2 linked regions of the Lepisosteus oculatus genome follow. The protein of the gene in region 1 interacts with the protein of each later gene in a biochemical or structural test. Links are inferred from orthologs where the notes say so. Each region holds a gene or a part of one and is shown in the gene's direction. Other genes may lie near its edges.

Evidence for each region.
Region 2: the proteins of lcat (region 1) and apoa1a form a complex in vitro, tested with the Homo sapiens proteins (6 studies listed by BioGRID and IntAct, with this or other methods). The link is inferred for Lepisosteus oculatus from reciprocal best matches to the Homo sapiens genes LCAT and APOA1.

Annotation. Positions count from the first base shown.
Region 1 is NC_090715.1:11,488,099-11,495,797, reverse strand, and holds the start of lcat (phosphatidylcholine-sterol acyltransferase), read left to right. Parts: upstream 1-4,683; 5' UTR 4,684-4,891; coding exon 4,892-5,048; intron 5,049-5,967; coding exon 5,968-6,124; intron 6,125-6,532; coding exon 6,533-6,648; intron 6,649-7,014; coding exon 7,015-7,110; intron 7,111-7,699. Other genes in the region: ccdc135 (dynein regulatory complex subunit 7), read right to left, coding at 492-637. UniProt on the Homo sapiens protein: Central enzyme in the extracellular metabolism of plasma lipoproteins.
Region 2 is NC_090718.1:4,780,027-4,787,571, reverse strand, and holds the start of apoa1a (apolipoprotein A-Ia), read left to right. Parts: upstream 1-4,524; 5' UTR 4,525-4,579; intron 4,580-7,545. UniProt on the Homo sapiens protein: Participates in the reverse transport of cholesterol from tissues to the liver for excretion by promoting cholesterol efflux from tissues and by acting as a cofactor for the lecithin cholesterol acyltransferase (LCAT).

The DNA of each region.
Region 1 (7,699 bases):
AGTGTGAAACACAAGACATAGGAGCCCACTGAAGTTCAGGAAGAAATCTTTGAAGTTCAAGAAGACTTCTGTCTAGCATCCACTAGAAAAAACTAAACATCATGAAAAGCTGTACTTACTGTGGGCTAAAGGACATATCTACTCATTGTGGGCAACTAGAACTACAGCTTCCAGACTTCTACATCAAGCAATGACAATGATACAATCATTGATTCAAGACCCAGATTACCCAGATTCAAAAGCAATAGAACAATGTCATTGTTTTACTCCCACAGCTGTTAACCTGCTCAATTTGGATAATTAACTGTACATTTTACTTTTAGATACATATTTATTTTCTTATGGTACATGTATGTCTTATTTGTGAATGGGTCCATGTTGTGTTAAATGTATTGCGTACTGTGTTATGTCAGTTACCTGCTTGCAAAGCAAATTTCCCATTTGGGACAATAAAGTAAGTACAGTAATGTTGACATGAGGTTTGTACTCACTGCGGGCTGGCAGGGGTAGTGATGTGTATTTTGGACAGTGTCTCCTCCAGATCCTGCAGCTCTGTATTCAGATCTTCATCCCCTGCCTCCTCCTCCCCCTTCCACTCTCCAGCCTCAGACAACTGCTCCTCTGGCAGCGTCTCCATTTCTTACAGGACTGAAAATGAGAAAGAGGAGGACAACCTGAACTCCACAGGATCACCTCTCACCCTGTCTTCAAAGGGACAGAACTATCAATCAATCAGAGTTTATTTATCAAATGCACAATAATACAGCGTGCAGTTATTATTATTATTATTATTATTATTATTATTATTATTATTATATTATAGCAGTAGTTGCTGGCAACAAAATGTCTATCAATATCAATTACATCATATTTTTGTTTTACTATTCTTTATAATCATATAATCATATAATTGTTCTATCCATTCTTTATTTGAATTACCCTAAATATATCTATAAATATATACAGTAGGAGGCATCAGATTCCTCCTGTTAAGGAGGATTCCTTGTGCTTATTGTGTGCCTTGTGCTTATTGAAACAGAAGGCACAGAATTAAATTATCTACTGTAATTACCAAGAGAAAACAGTGTAACACAGTACACCTTGACATTTTATGTTAAATACATTTAACAATTACAAGTTTACGTCGTGCCACAGAACAGTGTAAATATATCCTTACTGCAGCTGCTAAATATTTAAGGAAGCTCGACCATTTTCCGTTCAGTATACAAAACTAAATAGTTTATCCGGTTTCATAATTTATTTACGGTTTAGTATACGATAGTTTAACTATAGTTTATAAACAGTTTCTGAAACTTCTAACCCCTGTTTTCATAAATCACATTGTTTATTTACTCAGCCGCATAATCAACAGGTACATTCTACTGTCACTGATTGTTTTTTACCCCTTGTTTCATTTTTAAACATGTAGATATTGAAATAAAAGATTAATCGCACCATTCCCCATCACAGTACCTCTGAACGACCGTCCCGTTTACGACCGTCTCCATGGCCACGGCAGCGCTGGATCACGCTGTTCCGTGGCCCCGCCCCTTGCGTAAGCAGCGTGAGGAGACGAGCTGCGGGTTTCTCCTGGTTTGAACTATTGAAAAGCGCGGACATTTTCTACATCTGACTAGTGCTACTTGAAGATATAGATCTTAAAGGACTCCTACGGTTTCATTTTCGATTTTGCACGTGAAAAACAATTACCAAATAACAACAAAAAAAATAAGGCCACATCTTCCTTTTATCTTCTGTATCTTCATGTACAGGCTACGCTCTTAAATACCTGACCGAGCCCCGACCCTTAAAAAGCAGAAAGTATTCTAAGACTTGATGATCTCAAGTTCTAGAAATCTTCTATTAATTAATTAACCCCCACCTTTTGGAAACAGCAATTGCTTGGGGGGGAACTCATGAAAACAATCTAAATGCTAAAAACATTGATCTGTTGAGTGCGGATTCCGGAAACCAGATTCTCACCAGAAATAAAAACCAGACTAGACTAGACCAGACCAGACCATATACGTTTCAAATGTAGCTCCCTCGGTTGTCACGTCGGCGCAGTGGATCGTATTGCTGTGGCCCTGGGTTCCATTCTGGACCCGGGGTGCTCTCTGTGTGGAGTCTGTGCTCCCCTACGATTGTGTGGGTCAATTCCAGGTGCTCTGATTTCCCCCTTCAGTCCAAAGACATGCTGGTAGGTGAATTGGTTTCAGGGAAGATTTGGCCCTGGTGAGAGTGTTTGTGTGCGTGGTTGTATCCGTGTGTGCCCTGCGATAGACTGGTGTCCTGTCCAGGGTGTATCCTGCCTCATGCCTGTTGTTTGCTGAGATAGTCTCCGGCTCCCTTCTGACCCTGTATGGGCTGAAGTGGTTAGAAAATGGATGGATGGATTTCTCTTGAATATTAAACAGTCACCCACTTTGTATCACATTTACGCCTTCAGAGGAAAACTGAGCCCAGGAACAGGCGGGAGGATTGGACAACTACACATGTGCATACTTATAAAATCAATGGGGAAATACTCTCCTGGAGTAGTTCACTTACGAAGGTTGTCCATTGAAAAGTCTGTAGTGACACAGTCATACAACTAGAGGTCGCCAGAATTGCTTCAAAGGACTGGTCTCACCTACAGTATATGAACTGATAGTTTTGATCATTGTCCTGGAACGCAGACAATCTCACATGGGATTCATGGTTCACTAGAAGTGGGGTTTAAACAGGAGTGCTTTTCTGTGATGGACTGGTCTCTCTCATCCAGGGTGTATCACGCTGTGGGCCAGTTGCTTGCTGGGATTGGCTCCGTCTCCCCCACCACCCTGGACTCGATAAAGCAGTTAGCGGTTGTAACTTTGTTAAAACTCTCAAAGTCAGGATCACCACATAGACCACTCATGTCCCATCAGTGTTGGAGAGTTCTATGTGCAAAGGTTGTTTGACCAATGTTACCAGAGTCTGCAATGTTCCACACTATGTAATCATTGGATAACTACATTGCAAATTACCCTGGGTGCCGAGTGTCTGCCAGCAAATAAAGATAGTGAAATATTTGGTACGAAGACATCAGATTTCCAAATATTTACTAAAGTAACCTATTGTTCTGCATGAAAATAAAAAGTTGTCTTCTACAGATAGGGAATAATCCAATGAATTGAAATGGATAACAGTTTGAAAGTATGCAGCTGCCTGTATTTTGGGGAAATTTGAACTTTCTACCTTTTTCCATCTGTATTACAAAACAGGTCTGCACTTGCAATCTCTGTGTGACTGCTGTTAATGTTTCACAATGTTCATATAGTACACATCAACTGTTTAGCTGGTTAGGGGATCAATAGTTCATAGGTGAATTAGATAATGTTTCTGTTCACCAATCCATCAGACAGAAAAGAAACATATTCTTAGGGAACTTCCCCTGTAGAAGAACTTCTCTGATTCAGTATAGGACACAACTTGTAAGTGCAAGCTAAATCAAAACAGACAGTAGCTTTCTATTCCAGAAGCGTATCTGGTTGCAAACAATGCTTGCTCATGCCTGAGTAACTTACCCGACAGAGGAACAGTGGCTGGGATCTTTAAGCAGATGCAGAGGATTGGATTTGATATCCTATCCTTTCACAAACAATGGTAACAAAACAAGGCCGCTGATGACATATCAGCCAGTCTTGATTTGATTTCAAGGCAAATGACTAAACTCTGACACAGTCCTCACACTGTCTGGCACTTCAGTCAACAACATTTTCATCATAGGCTCAGGATTTGCACCTTATTGCATCAATTTGCAGACAATAATAGAACTGCAATGTTGACACAATTGGTCCTGCGGTGCAGCCATAGATACCCGGCTCTCGTACAGGACGCTGGACTTCAGTGGTGCCGTGTGTAATAGGTCTCTTACTGTAAGAGTTATGTCACTTGTCTGGTCTGGACTGTGCAATTGAGGCTCAAGTGATGACAGTTCAAGTACAGGGTCCAAATACACACACTGCTTCTTCCTTCAAACTGAGTCTTGCTGGGGTAAGTGCACTGTTGCTCCTCCTAACCTGCCACTCATGGTGGCAATGGGATCCCTGGCTCCCCCAGGATTGAAAGGGACTATAACACTGTAGCGGAGGCCACTCTGATCAAGAGGTTGAACTCACATTGTAATGACTCAACAAGCTCTTTACCACATTCAAGTCCACCGGGCCACACAATTAGCAGTTACATATATATTCAATTCAATATTCCAGTAATTCACCAGTAAACCTGGAGCGCATTTCTTCAACTTGAGACAAGATAGCATTGTTCTGAGTGACTGCATTAAAACAACATTCAGAGTTAATTGAATAATGTCAGAATGGAGCAAAATAACAGCTTGTATAAAATAAGTATTTAATACCAAAAATACCTAATAAAATACCTGTTTTATTTGAAATAAATAAAATACTTTTTTATTTTTTAACCAAATAAAAAAGCTGAGAGGAGTAATTGAGAGATGAGGTCAAATTATTGCGAGAAGCATCTGTAACCCTTAAAGTCTGGACTTGCCCATCCCAGGCAGAAGATTTCTAGCACAGAGTGATTCCTTTTTGGCCCACTGTCCTCCTCTGAAAGGCTAGGCTTGCCCCTCGGTGTAAAACATTGCATAGAAATTGTTTACTCTAGCCAGAGCTCAGATAAAAAGCTTGTGATTTGTCAACGATGTCTAAAGCCGGAGTCTCATCAGTATTCAGGTGGTGGTGAGATCTGACTGGAGCATTCCACTGGCCTACAGGGTGCTGAGTGCGTACACTGGGCTTCCAGCGTGGGAGAGCTTCTGCCAGAGACTCTGCCCTCGCAGCCTTTTTCTCCATTGGCCCTGATAAGACAGCTGCAGAGGCTCATCAGCGCAGCAGCGAGAGAGAGAATCATGGGCCGCCGCACCTCTGTGTCGCCTCTGCTTCTGCTGCTGGTTCTGGGTGTCTTCCCCCGGCCTTCGCCCGGATTCTGGCTCTTCAATGTCATCTTTCCTCCCAGCGTCGAGCCCAGAGAGTCCCAGACGAACAGCACCCCGCCTCTCATCCTAGGTGAGTGTCAGGGAGGGCAGTCGGGTTCCGGGTCTCCGGAGGAGTGGCGGCCTTTTTGTATTCCAGGAGCATTTTTCGAAAGTATGCATTCAAACCTACCGAAAGCCGTGCTCTTTCAGCTGGTTTGTTAATGCAGTCAGGAGCGTTAAATAATGACACAAAGGCCTGCTGTTAGGTTTCAGAAATAGGTTTTTGTTTTGGGAACATGTGTTTTGTGAAAAGTAGGGAATATCGTATGCATCTTTGCGATTCCAGTGGGTGTTCTATGAATAGTGAACTCAGACTGAGAATTGGTTGTTTCTACTTCATTTATCATTCACCACAACAAATATCCTGCACTATACAACAGCTTCTAAAATAGCCTCTGAAGATACTATTATTATACAGACCTGTAGTCAAAGCTTTTCTCAGAGTGGAGATACTATCAGTTGGACATGACCCCGGTTTCGGCCTGCATTTTTAACACTTGACTGTTCAGGTTTCATTTGCACTGATAAGCTGTGAGCACAGCTTGCCAGGGGTGTCTCATACAGCATGCTGTACTATACTGTTGCACTTTTGGACAAATCTGTGTAAGGAAGTTCAGAGTAGATGATGGACCTATTTAGACTGAAAGTAGAAGATACTTTTTTGCTCAGAGATTTACCACCTGTCCCTCCTAACTGGCTCCCTAGGATACATCTGGATAAGACTCAGTCACACAGTTCTACTTTAAGTCCAACAAATAAGATGGGAGTTAACCTCCTTTAGTTGTGATCACCCTCTGTCCTTGCATTCTTTTTTAAAGTTAGACACAAGGGAAAAACTGGGAACGAGAATCACGATGAATCATTTACAGTAACTCACTCCAAAAATAGGGGAATAAATTGAAAGGAGGCATGTAAAGCATTCTGACCTGTGACCTCTTACCACTGCACAGTGCCAGGAAACCTGGGAAACCGGCTGGAAGCCAGGATTGACAAGCCCAGCCTGGTGCACTGGCTGTGCTACAGGAAGACGGAGAACTTCTTCACCATCTGGATCGATCTCAACATGTTTATGCCCATTGGCATCGACTGCTGGATAGATAACATCCGGTACAGTAGCACCGTCGTGTCGTAGCTCTCACTTTGTTGCCACCAACCTCACCATTTGTGTTGCCTTTCGTCAGGGGAAAAGGGCTCATTGTCAACAAACACCCACTGCTCTCATCTGCCTCTTCACTCAAGAGAGCCCAAAACCAGGAACCAGAAATCTGAGACATTGTCCCTCTTCCCACTCATTGCACCTTCAGTTCTGATCAGAATTGATCCAAGCACGGAGGCTTCTCTTGAACCACGCCTCACTGGTGATCAGACAGCTGGGTGAAACCACCAGTGAATCCCAATCCAAGCTTCACCTCCACCTCAAAACAAGTGCCTTAAGTTACTTTGCATCTGCATCTGCCTACATCAACAGAAACAGACCAGCCTTCCTCTGACTGATCAGAATCTGTGTCATTTCAGGATTGTGTACAACAGGACAACCCGGAAAAGCTCCAATGCCCCTGGAGTAGAGATTCGAGTACCCGGATTTGGCCAGACCTACCCTGTGGAATTTCTGGACACCAACAAGCTAACAGGTGTGCAGCTCTACATACAATACAATACAATACAATGATACAATTGTTATACACCATTACAATATTTTAGATAGGACTGGAAAAACATACCAACGGACATGTTAAAACCAAATGCATTTATGGGTATATTTTAGGTATTATATTATTTAGGTACATATTTTTCAAGGAGTGTCAGAAATACATTCAGATAATGAAGGGTTAAATAGCCTCATATGGTGAATAGCCTGTATTTCCTCTTGGACATTTAACAGGGGAATTCAAGCAAATGACATGCCCTTTTGAGAACTTCCACAGACTAATTAATTGATCACCTTTTGCATTTGTCATATGAGAATGGACTGTGACCACAAATCTGTTGTCTTGCAGGTTATTTCCACACCATGGTGGAGCACCTGGTGAATTTTGGATACGTCCGGAATGAGACCATTCGTGCAGCGCCGTACGACTGGAGAATTGCGCCCAGTGAGTGTCAGGCCTCAATGCAGTACTGAACCCCCACGGCACATAAAAATCTCAGAGAAGGAGAGGTTTGCTGTGATTATGAATCGCACATCTTGTGCTTAATTCACAGTATAATATATTTTATACAACATCTGTCACTGTACATTCTGCCATCTACATTATATCACCCTCCGCAATTCCTGAACACCTGGCACTGGGAAGTGAGGGTTGCTGAGGGCTTGACTACTTGTGAACATGAAATAGCCTTGCCACTACTACTTACCACCAGAGGTCGCTATGGTCAGCCTGGCAATACCCAGTTCAATTGTACTAATTCAAGCGACTTGTCTTGGATAAATGTGCCAGCCTTCTAAATTCGTGATGAAATAATATTGATAGTTTTAATCAATTGTTTTTACTGGCATCATTGGATAGAAGTGCTGTTTAATGAAATGAGTAACTTTATCATCCCTTCACAAAGAGCAATGCCAGTGCCTTTAAGAAATGCAGCTGATGTACTAAGAACTAAGTGATTCCCACTGAGAATTACTCTAGAGGGATAATTATTGAAATGAAGGTCAGGAACCCAAAGTAAAATGCTAGAAGAAAA
Region 2 (7,545 bases), on another chromosome or scaffold:
TTGGAACACACAACTGGCTGTGTATACTGTACTGTGCAATATCAGCCATCCTGTAAACATCTGGCTGTGAATATTTGAAAGTATAATCTAACCCCTTTCCCTATTTGGCAGTGAAGTATAGGTTCCAATTACAGACCAAAATTACAATACATTGGACAAACAACCCACAGAAACACAAACATACAGAGCACACAGAATTGGACCAGACACTACTGCTGATTAATATACATAAAAGAGCAATAAAGTATTGGTTACATGTCAGTGAATAGAACTCCTTCAACCACAAGGCCCTGCTGAACACAGAGAAGAGCCCCTTGATCAGCTGGTCCTGTAGTTCACTGACATCAGGACAGCACTACAAAAACAACACATCACAGCCAATCAAATCCCAACACAGGCCAAACAATACCACCGTACCCAGTGGGAAACACACAAACTGGAATGTGCTAAAAAGTCATTTACTCTAGCTAAGTATTTATCTAACCAGGGGGAGAGACAGCAAAGAGCAACAGATCCAGACGAAGTAGAGGCTCAGTGTCCACAGCCTGGCCATAGAAACTGGACACAGGCAGACCTGGCTGTCCAGAGAGGACAGTCACAGTGACCACAGCCTGGACATAGAAACTGGACACAGGCAGAGGGACCTGGCTTCCCAGAGAGGACAGGCTGTGCTCCTACTGCCAGCAGGGAGAAGCAAAGACAGAGATGCACCTTCTGCTGCACTGAAAGAAAGAAGAGATCAGACATTAAACATTCTCCCCTAAAATAACAAGTATAATCCCAGAATTCCCACACCTGCCAGGATCAGAAGAGCTCCCAGTTCTAATGGGGGAAGGAGGAGGAAGCCTCCGTGCAGTATGTGATCTCCCGTCCCAGCCTGAGGCACAGACAGCCTGTTTCATGTGAGATCTGTGATGTCCAATAACACGTTCGTACTGCAAGTGTCTGTAAATGCTGTGTTAATTGTATCAGCTTTGGCCACCCTGTAATCCATCGGTCACCCCAATTAAAAGCTGTTGGAATTGGAATCTGAGAGGCACTGGGACAGAGTGTGAAGGAGATGGAGAAGGGACAGAGGTACACAGAACGGCTGAAAGAGACAGGGAACGAGAGAGAAAAGCAGATGCAGAGCGAGGCAGGAGGGAGCTGCTGGTTCAGCAGTCCTGCTATCAGCGTGAGAGAGTCAGCAATCAGCACTCCACTATCAGCCACTGGCTGTGCTAATCATTAATCCTTCCTTAATCAGCCATCTTATTGACCGCCCCTCTGACACAGCCTGTTCTGCGCTCCACAAACCATCTGACGCTGCGCTTTCACCCACAGGCTCCTGTGCCAAATGGGGCAGCGATGAAGGAGGGGGGTGGGGGGCTGTGAGACCAGCCTCTGCGGCTCACCGCAGTAGTGAAAAGGAAAAGCTCATTAGACTGTTAATAGTTTAATTAATCTAGCCAGTTAGGGAAGGATCACAGGGGAATCAGCTTCAGAAACAGGGCTGCTGCCACTTGTTCCAGACACCCACCACCTTTAGTGTAAAGAAGTGCCTCTGTGTTCTCAGTTTTCCCTGGTGCCCCCGCAATAAGACTGTTGGACTAATACTGGCAACACCTCTAATGATTTGGGAATATGCAATTATTCTCTGTTTTACATTTATAATTAGGAGGATCTGTAGAAATTTTATTTTCACTTGGACATTACAGTGTCAATCAACAGCAAAACGTCCCAATTAAATACGTTATGATTCCATGTTCCACAGAGATGCAGTGGGGGAGGATTCCTGCCGCCCAGCCCTGGGGCCCTGGGTTCAGGTCCTGGGGTGCTGTCTGTGTGGAGTTTGCATGTTCTCCCTGTGTTCTGAACTGTTTCCTCCCACAGTTCAGAGACAGGCTGGTAGGTGAATTGTCTTCTGGGAAAACTGGCCCTGGTGTGTCTGTGTGTGTCCTGTGTCTCCCATATCTTGCTGGGAGAGATTCTGGCTCCCCTGAGACCCTGCACTGGACTAAGCTGTTAGAAAATGGGTGGATGGAACTAAAGACCTGTGGCTTCTTGGGCTGGACTATGCTGTGAGTCGATGGTGTCTGTCACTGCGCAGTGAATAGAAGGATCTATAGTGCACCTAGAGAAATGGGCAGCTAAGCTACTCTGGGCACCACTGGACACCAGGAGACTGGGGTCTGTCCCACACTATGCACTAAGGTGGTCAGAGCTCCTCATGCATAAGCATATAGCAAGCAGTGGAGAATCAGTTTTGGATACGAGTGCAGAGTCCCGCAGCCCGGACTGGTTTGATTCCTGGGCTGACTGTGACCCAGATTTCCTGGACGCTGGAGGGCCTCATACCCTCAGATCTGAGGGTTCACTGTGAAGCTCAGTGGTCAGAAGGTGAAAAAACAGCCAGCAGGTGTAACAGCAGATGAATGGACTCTCTAACTTTCGGACAGGTGTCTGTCAGGCGGCTCCAGCGAGGCTGACCTCTTGTAGACCTGCTGGAAACTGGACTCAGAGGGCAGTGTGAAGACACCGGCACGGCACTCCCTCTGACTGCTGGCAGGGTACGTGCAGCTCAGGGTGATAGATCAATAAAAAATTAACACGCGGAACAGCATAAAGTAAAAGGAGAGCAAAGAGATAATGAAAGCACGGACGTGCAGGTTGACTCATGTTAATTTCAGATCACATGGTCTTCCTTCTGCAACAGATTTAATCCTGAAATTAATCGGCTGTTCTGAGGGACCCACAGTGCCTGTGTGGACAGGTGCCCCTGGACGCTGTGCCTTTAACCAGTCAGTCCACACAATGCTCTGGAGTGAACCTCCTCTATCGAGGGTGAAGGCGTGGGATTAACTGTCTGGGTTTCGCACACATTGCTTGAGAAAGACCAGAAATGAGTGTGCACTGAGTGTGTATAAAGTACAGTATTTAGGGGTAGTGTACTGGTGAGTGCAGTGTGTGTACATATGAATGTGTTCAGTGCGTAGTAGTAGTGTGTATAGTGTGAAGCAGTGCGTTTGTAGTGGTGTGTCAGTGTGTACCAGTGTATATAGTGATCTGTCAGCATGTAATGGTGCGTATAGTGATGTGTGCAGTGTGTAATGGTGTGTATAGTGCTGTGCGCAATGTTTAATTGTGTGTATAGTGGTGTGTACGGTACGTAACGGTTTGTATAGTGGTGTGTCAGTGTGTAACGGTAGTGCTGTGTGCGGTGTGTAACAGTGTGTATAGTGCTGTGCGCAGTGTGTAACAGTTTGGATTGTGGTGTGTCAGTGTGTAACGGTGTGTATGGTGGTGTGTCAGTGTGTAACCAGTGTGTATAGTGCTGTGGGCGGTGTGTAACGGTGTGTATAGTGGTGTGTCATTGTGCAACGGTGTGTATAGTGGTGTGTGCAGAGTGTAACGGTGTGTATAATGCTCTGCACGGTGTGTATCGGTGTGTATAGTGCTGTGCGCAATGTGTAATGGTGTGTATAGTGGTGTGTGCAGTGTGTAACGGTGTGTATAATGCTCTGCACGGTGTGTAACGGTGTGTATAGTGCTGTGCGCAATGTGTAACGGTGTGTATAGTGGTGTGTACGGTACGTAACAGTTTGTATAGTGGTGTGTCAGTGTGTAACGGTAGTGCTGTACAAGTTGTGTCAGTGTGTAACGGTGTGTATAGTGCTGTGGGTGGTGTGTAACGGTGTGTATAATGGTGTGCGCAGTGTGTAATGGTGTGTATAATGCTGTGGGCGGTGTGTAACGGTGTGTATAGTGGTGTGTCATTGTGCAACGGTGTGTATAGTGGTGTGTGCAGAGTGTAACGGTGTGTATAGTGGTGTGTCAGTGTGTAACGGTGTGTATAATGCTCTGCATGGTGTGTAACGGTGTGTATAGTGCTGTGCGCAATGTGTAACGGTGTGTATAGTGGTGTGTACGGTACGTAACAGTTTGTATAGTGGTGTGTCAGTGTGTAACGGTAGTGCTGTACAAGTTGTGTCAGTGTGTAACGGTGTGTATAGTGCTGTGGGTGGTGTGTAACGGTGTGTATAGTGGTGTGTGCAGTGTGTAACGGTGTGTATAATGCTGTGCCTGGTGTGTAACGGTGTGTATAGTGGTGTGTGCAGTGTGTAACGGTGTGTATAATGCTGTGCCTGGTGTGTAACGGTGTGTATAGTGGTGTGTGCAGTGTGTAACGGTGTGTATAATGCTGTGCCTGGTGTGTAACGGTGTGTATAGTGGTGTGTGCAGTGTGTAACGGTGTGTATAATGCTGTGCCTGGTGTGTAACGGTGTGTATAGTGGTGTGTGCAGTGTGTAACGGTGTGTATAGTGGTGTGTGCAGTGTGTAACGGTGTGTATAGTTGTGCACGTGGTGTTGTGGAGCGGAGTGCAGCAGCCTGCGCAGTGTGTGCAGGTACAGAGGACGCTCCTGTCTCCCTGTTTACTGTGCTCCTGACTCACACTAACCCTTGATCCCAGGCTCCAGGCAGTCAGGAGCCGAGGTCAGGGGTCCAGCTCCACGAAAGCAGAGATAGAGGCTGGGAGAGAGAGGATAAAACCCGCCACCACCTCAGCTGGGCCACACACATCGCACACATCCAGGAGAGGTAAGACTGCACTTCCATACGGGAGAGGGACAGGGGAGAGGGGACAGGAGACAGGAGACAAGGGAGAGGGGAGAGGTGAGGAAACAGGGGACAGGAGATAGGGGAGACGGGAGAGGAGAGAGGGCTCTGCTGCAGCAGGTCAGGCTGTGCTTGATTCCTTTACACTTGACGGGAGATTGGAACTGTGAAGCGTTTTTGGATGTGTGGGTCTCCAGAGAGTGATCCTGTCTCTCGGGACTACTCAGACAGAAAGAGTGTCAAACTTTCCTGAGCGTAACTCGGACTGCCCTTGTTTTCTGGCCGAGAACTGGCCGGTTTCTGGACAATCCGCTCTTCTTCCCGACTTAAAAGAGCCGTTTTAGAAGAGGGAGAAACTTTTTCTTGGATTCTCGGGTTATTGAGTGCACACCGACTGATTTCAAACGAGAAGCAGATCGAGACTGCAGGGGCATCAAGGTATCTGAATCAGTTCTGAAAACTGTGGGTTCCTTCGGAAAGGCATGCTGCTGGGTTACAGGGCTAGACGATCTTGGGGCACTCTTTGTGTCTGGGAGCTGTGTGTCCGGAAACACTAAAACTCTGTGCCTTCAAGTAATCAGCTCGCTGAAAGGTTGACAGCAGTTGAGAACATAAGAAAGCTTACAAACGTCCCATCTGGCCTTTTTGGCCCCCTAACAAAGCAGCTAACTGATCCAAGGAATTCCTCCATCTGTGTCTTGAAAGAAGCCAAGTTTGCGGCTTTAACAACAGGGCCGGGCAGCTTTTTCTCTACTCCCACCACCCTTAGTGTAAAGAAGCGCCTCCGGTGCTGACTGGAGGAGCTCGTCCAGCCATTCCCTGAAAGGAGCCAGGCTATCGGCTTCAACTCCGTGGCGGGCTCTATATGACACGAGATCCCTTCTGATTGCACTGGGGCTTCAGGGGTGGATCTGCCGTAGTCGGTGCCAGAGACGTGCAGTTTCACCCTGATGGAGTACGGGTCAGGCCTAGAATTTCCGGTGGTTGCAGCCGGTTCGTTAGAAATGGCTAGGAAAGATCTTGTTTGCCTGTAGCTCGCCTTAGGTGCCCACTAACGGTCGTGACACCACGTCTGAGTCTTTGTGCAGGAGCTGCTGTGATCAGAGCTTTAAGAGGATTGGCTGCTGTTTCATTATCCAAGCTTAGAAAAATCGGCCTGCCTCGGAGGAGGCACAGGGCAGAGTGTGTGTAGGGGCTGTGGATTTTGTGGAAGGGTCTTGTTGAGTACAAGCTTGGTCCGTGTCCTATTTCCGCTGGTGCTGCAGCGTGTGGAGCTGTGTCTCGGCTCGTCTGTGACAGAGTCAGCTTGATAGGGTGTCATCGAGGGACTGCGCAGGCAGTGTGTGTGCCTCTGTCAGTGTGGAGCAGTATGTTTTGTGTGTGTATAGTTTGTCTAGTCTTCATATCTGGGTTTTTTTTTCCACATATTGGCTTCAAGAACAGAAAAACCATGGCAACCATACCTAATAAGACTGGATATTTCAGATATCTACAGCTGTATAACATACACACAGTACATATATCATGTATAGTTTAGTTAATGCATTCTTGTACATTAAAAAATCCAAAACTGTAAAAAACACGTAGATTCACCCATGTGTAGATATACGAGCGCTCACTGTCTGTGAACCTCAGTCTGAAATGCTGTAAACACGCATGAATATGATTTTCATGTATTTTTGTGTGTTGCGGGGCATGGACTTTGTATACTGTACTGTGAGCTGAGAACATGCCGATGCCCTGTGTGAGCTGTGGGGGACTGTGGGAGGGTGTCAGGAGGGAACACCCTCACACGAGAGGAAAGGTGCTATTCTAACATTGCTTTAGGGCCGCAAACTCCAGAGATCAAATACACTGGGGCTTACCACAGATGACTCCACAGAAATCCTTGGCTATATTTTCAGATTGGTAATAACCAATACACTGCACCCAGAATACAGAGCTTTCACTCACAAACCCCAGACGCTAACAGATAAAGCTGTCTCCTAATAACCACTGGTTTATCTCACTTTATCTGTCCCTCCTTATCCAAACTGGCTGTGCTTCGAAGATAGCATGACCCAAAACCCTGCTTTTGATAGCCCTGGGGGCTCAAAGTCCTTAAGTAGAGACTTGGGACTGAGGAGCTGTTGTGGAGCTGAGGATCGCCCTCCTCCGAGGCCTGTCTTATCAGTGCGATTGCAAACTCCCTGCTGGTAACGAGACCCGGCCAGACCCTTGGACCTGAGATACTGCCGGCTGCTCCTCGTGCTGTGATTTCACAGGCGTGTCACCCGAGGTGTGTGAGTGCGTGCGTGTGTGTGGCATTCTACATGTAGCATTCTGGTCAAAATGCCAGCATTTCAGCTGAGCAAAAGTTCCCTTTACTATTATGTGTGGCTCTCCATCCTGTATCGCTTGTGCAAATCGCTGTTGTGACAGGATTCACAATCGTGAAAATCGTGGTGCCTTAGAGGTGTGCACAGGAGGTCCGGAGCCTCGTAGCCCCTGCTCCGGCTCCAGCCTGTCCTTAAGACACACAGGGTGGGTGGGGGTGGGGGGATTTTGTACTAACGGATGGCCTAACAGTAAGATCTAACAGTAGGGGGTGCCCCACTGGCTCGGGCCGACCGGAATGGACTCGTAATCAGGCCCGTGGTGTGAGACTCGACCCCTTGTGAGCCTGGGTCGTTTCTGCTAACAGCACGCTGCGCCTCCGGGCTCCGCCGGCGCCGATCGAAAGGCTCTGCTCGCCCAGCATGAGCCTTTGGCCCGACCATTGCTCTAAACTCGGCTTTGATCTGGACGCCGGAGGGCTCCTGTCCCGCATCAGGGGAGAAAGGCAGACGGGACAGACGCGGAGGCCGAGTCCAGGGGAGACAGTGCGTTGTGGAGATCGGTCGGGTAGCTGGGCGGCCGACTCACAGGCCTGCGCGGGTCTGAGGAGGGGTGTGTCATGACCTCACGCC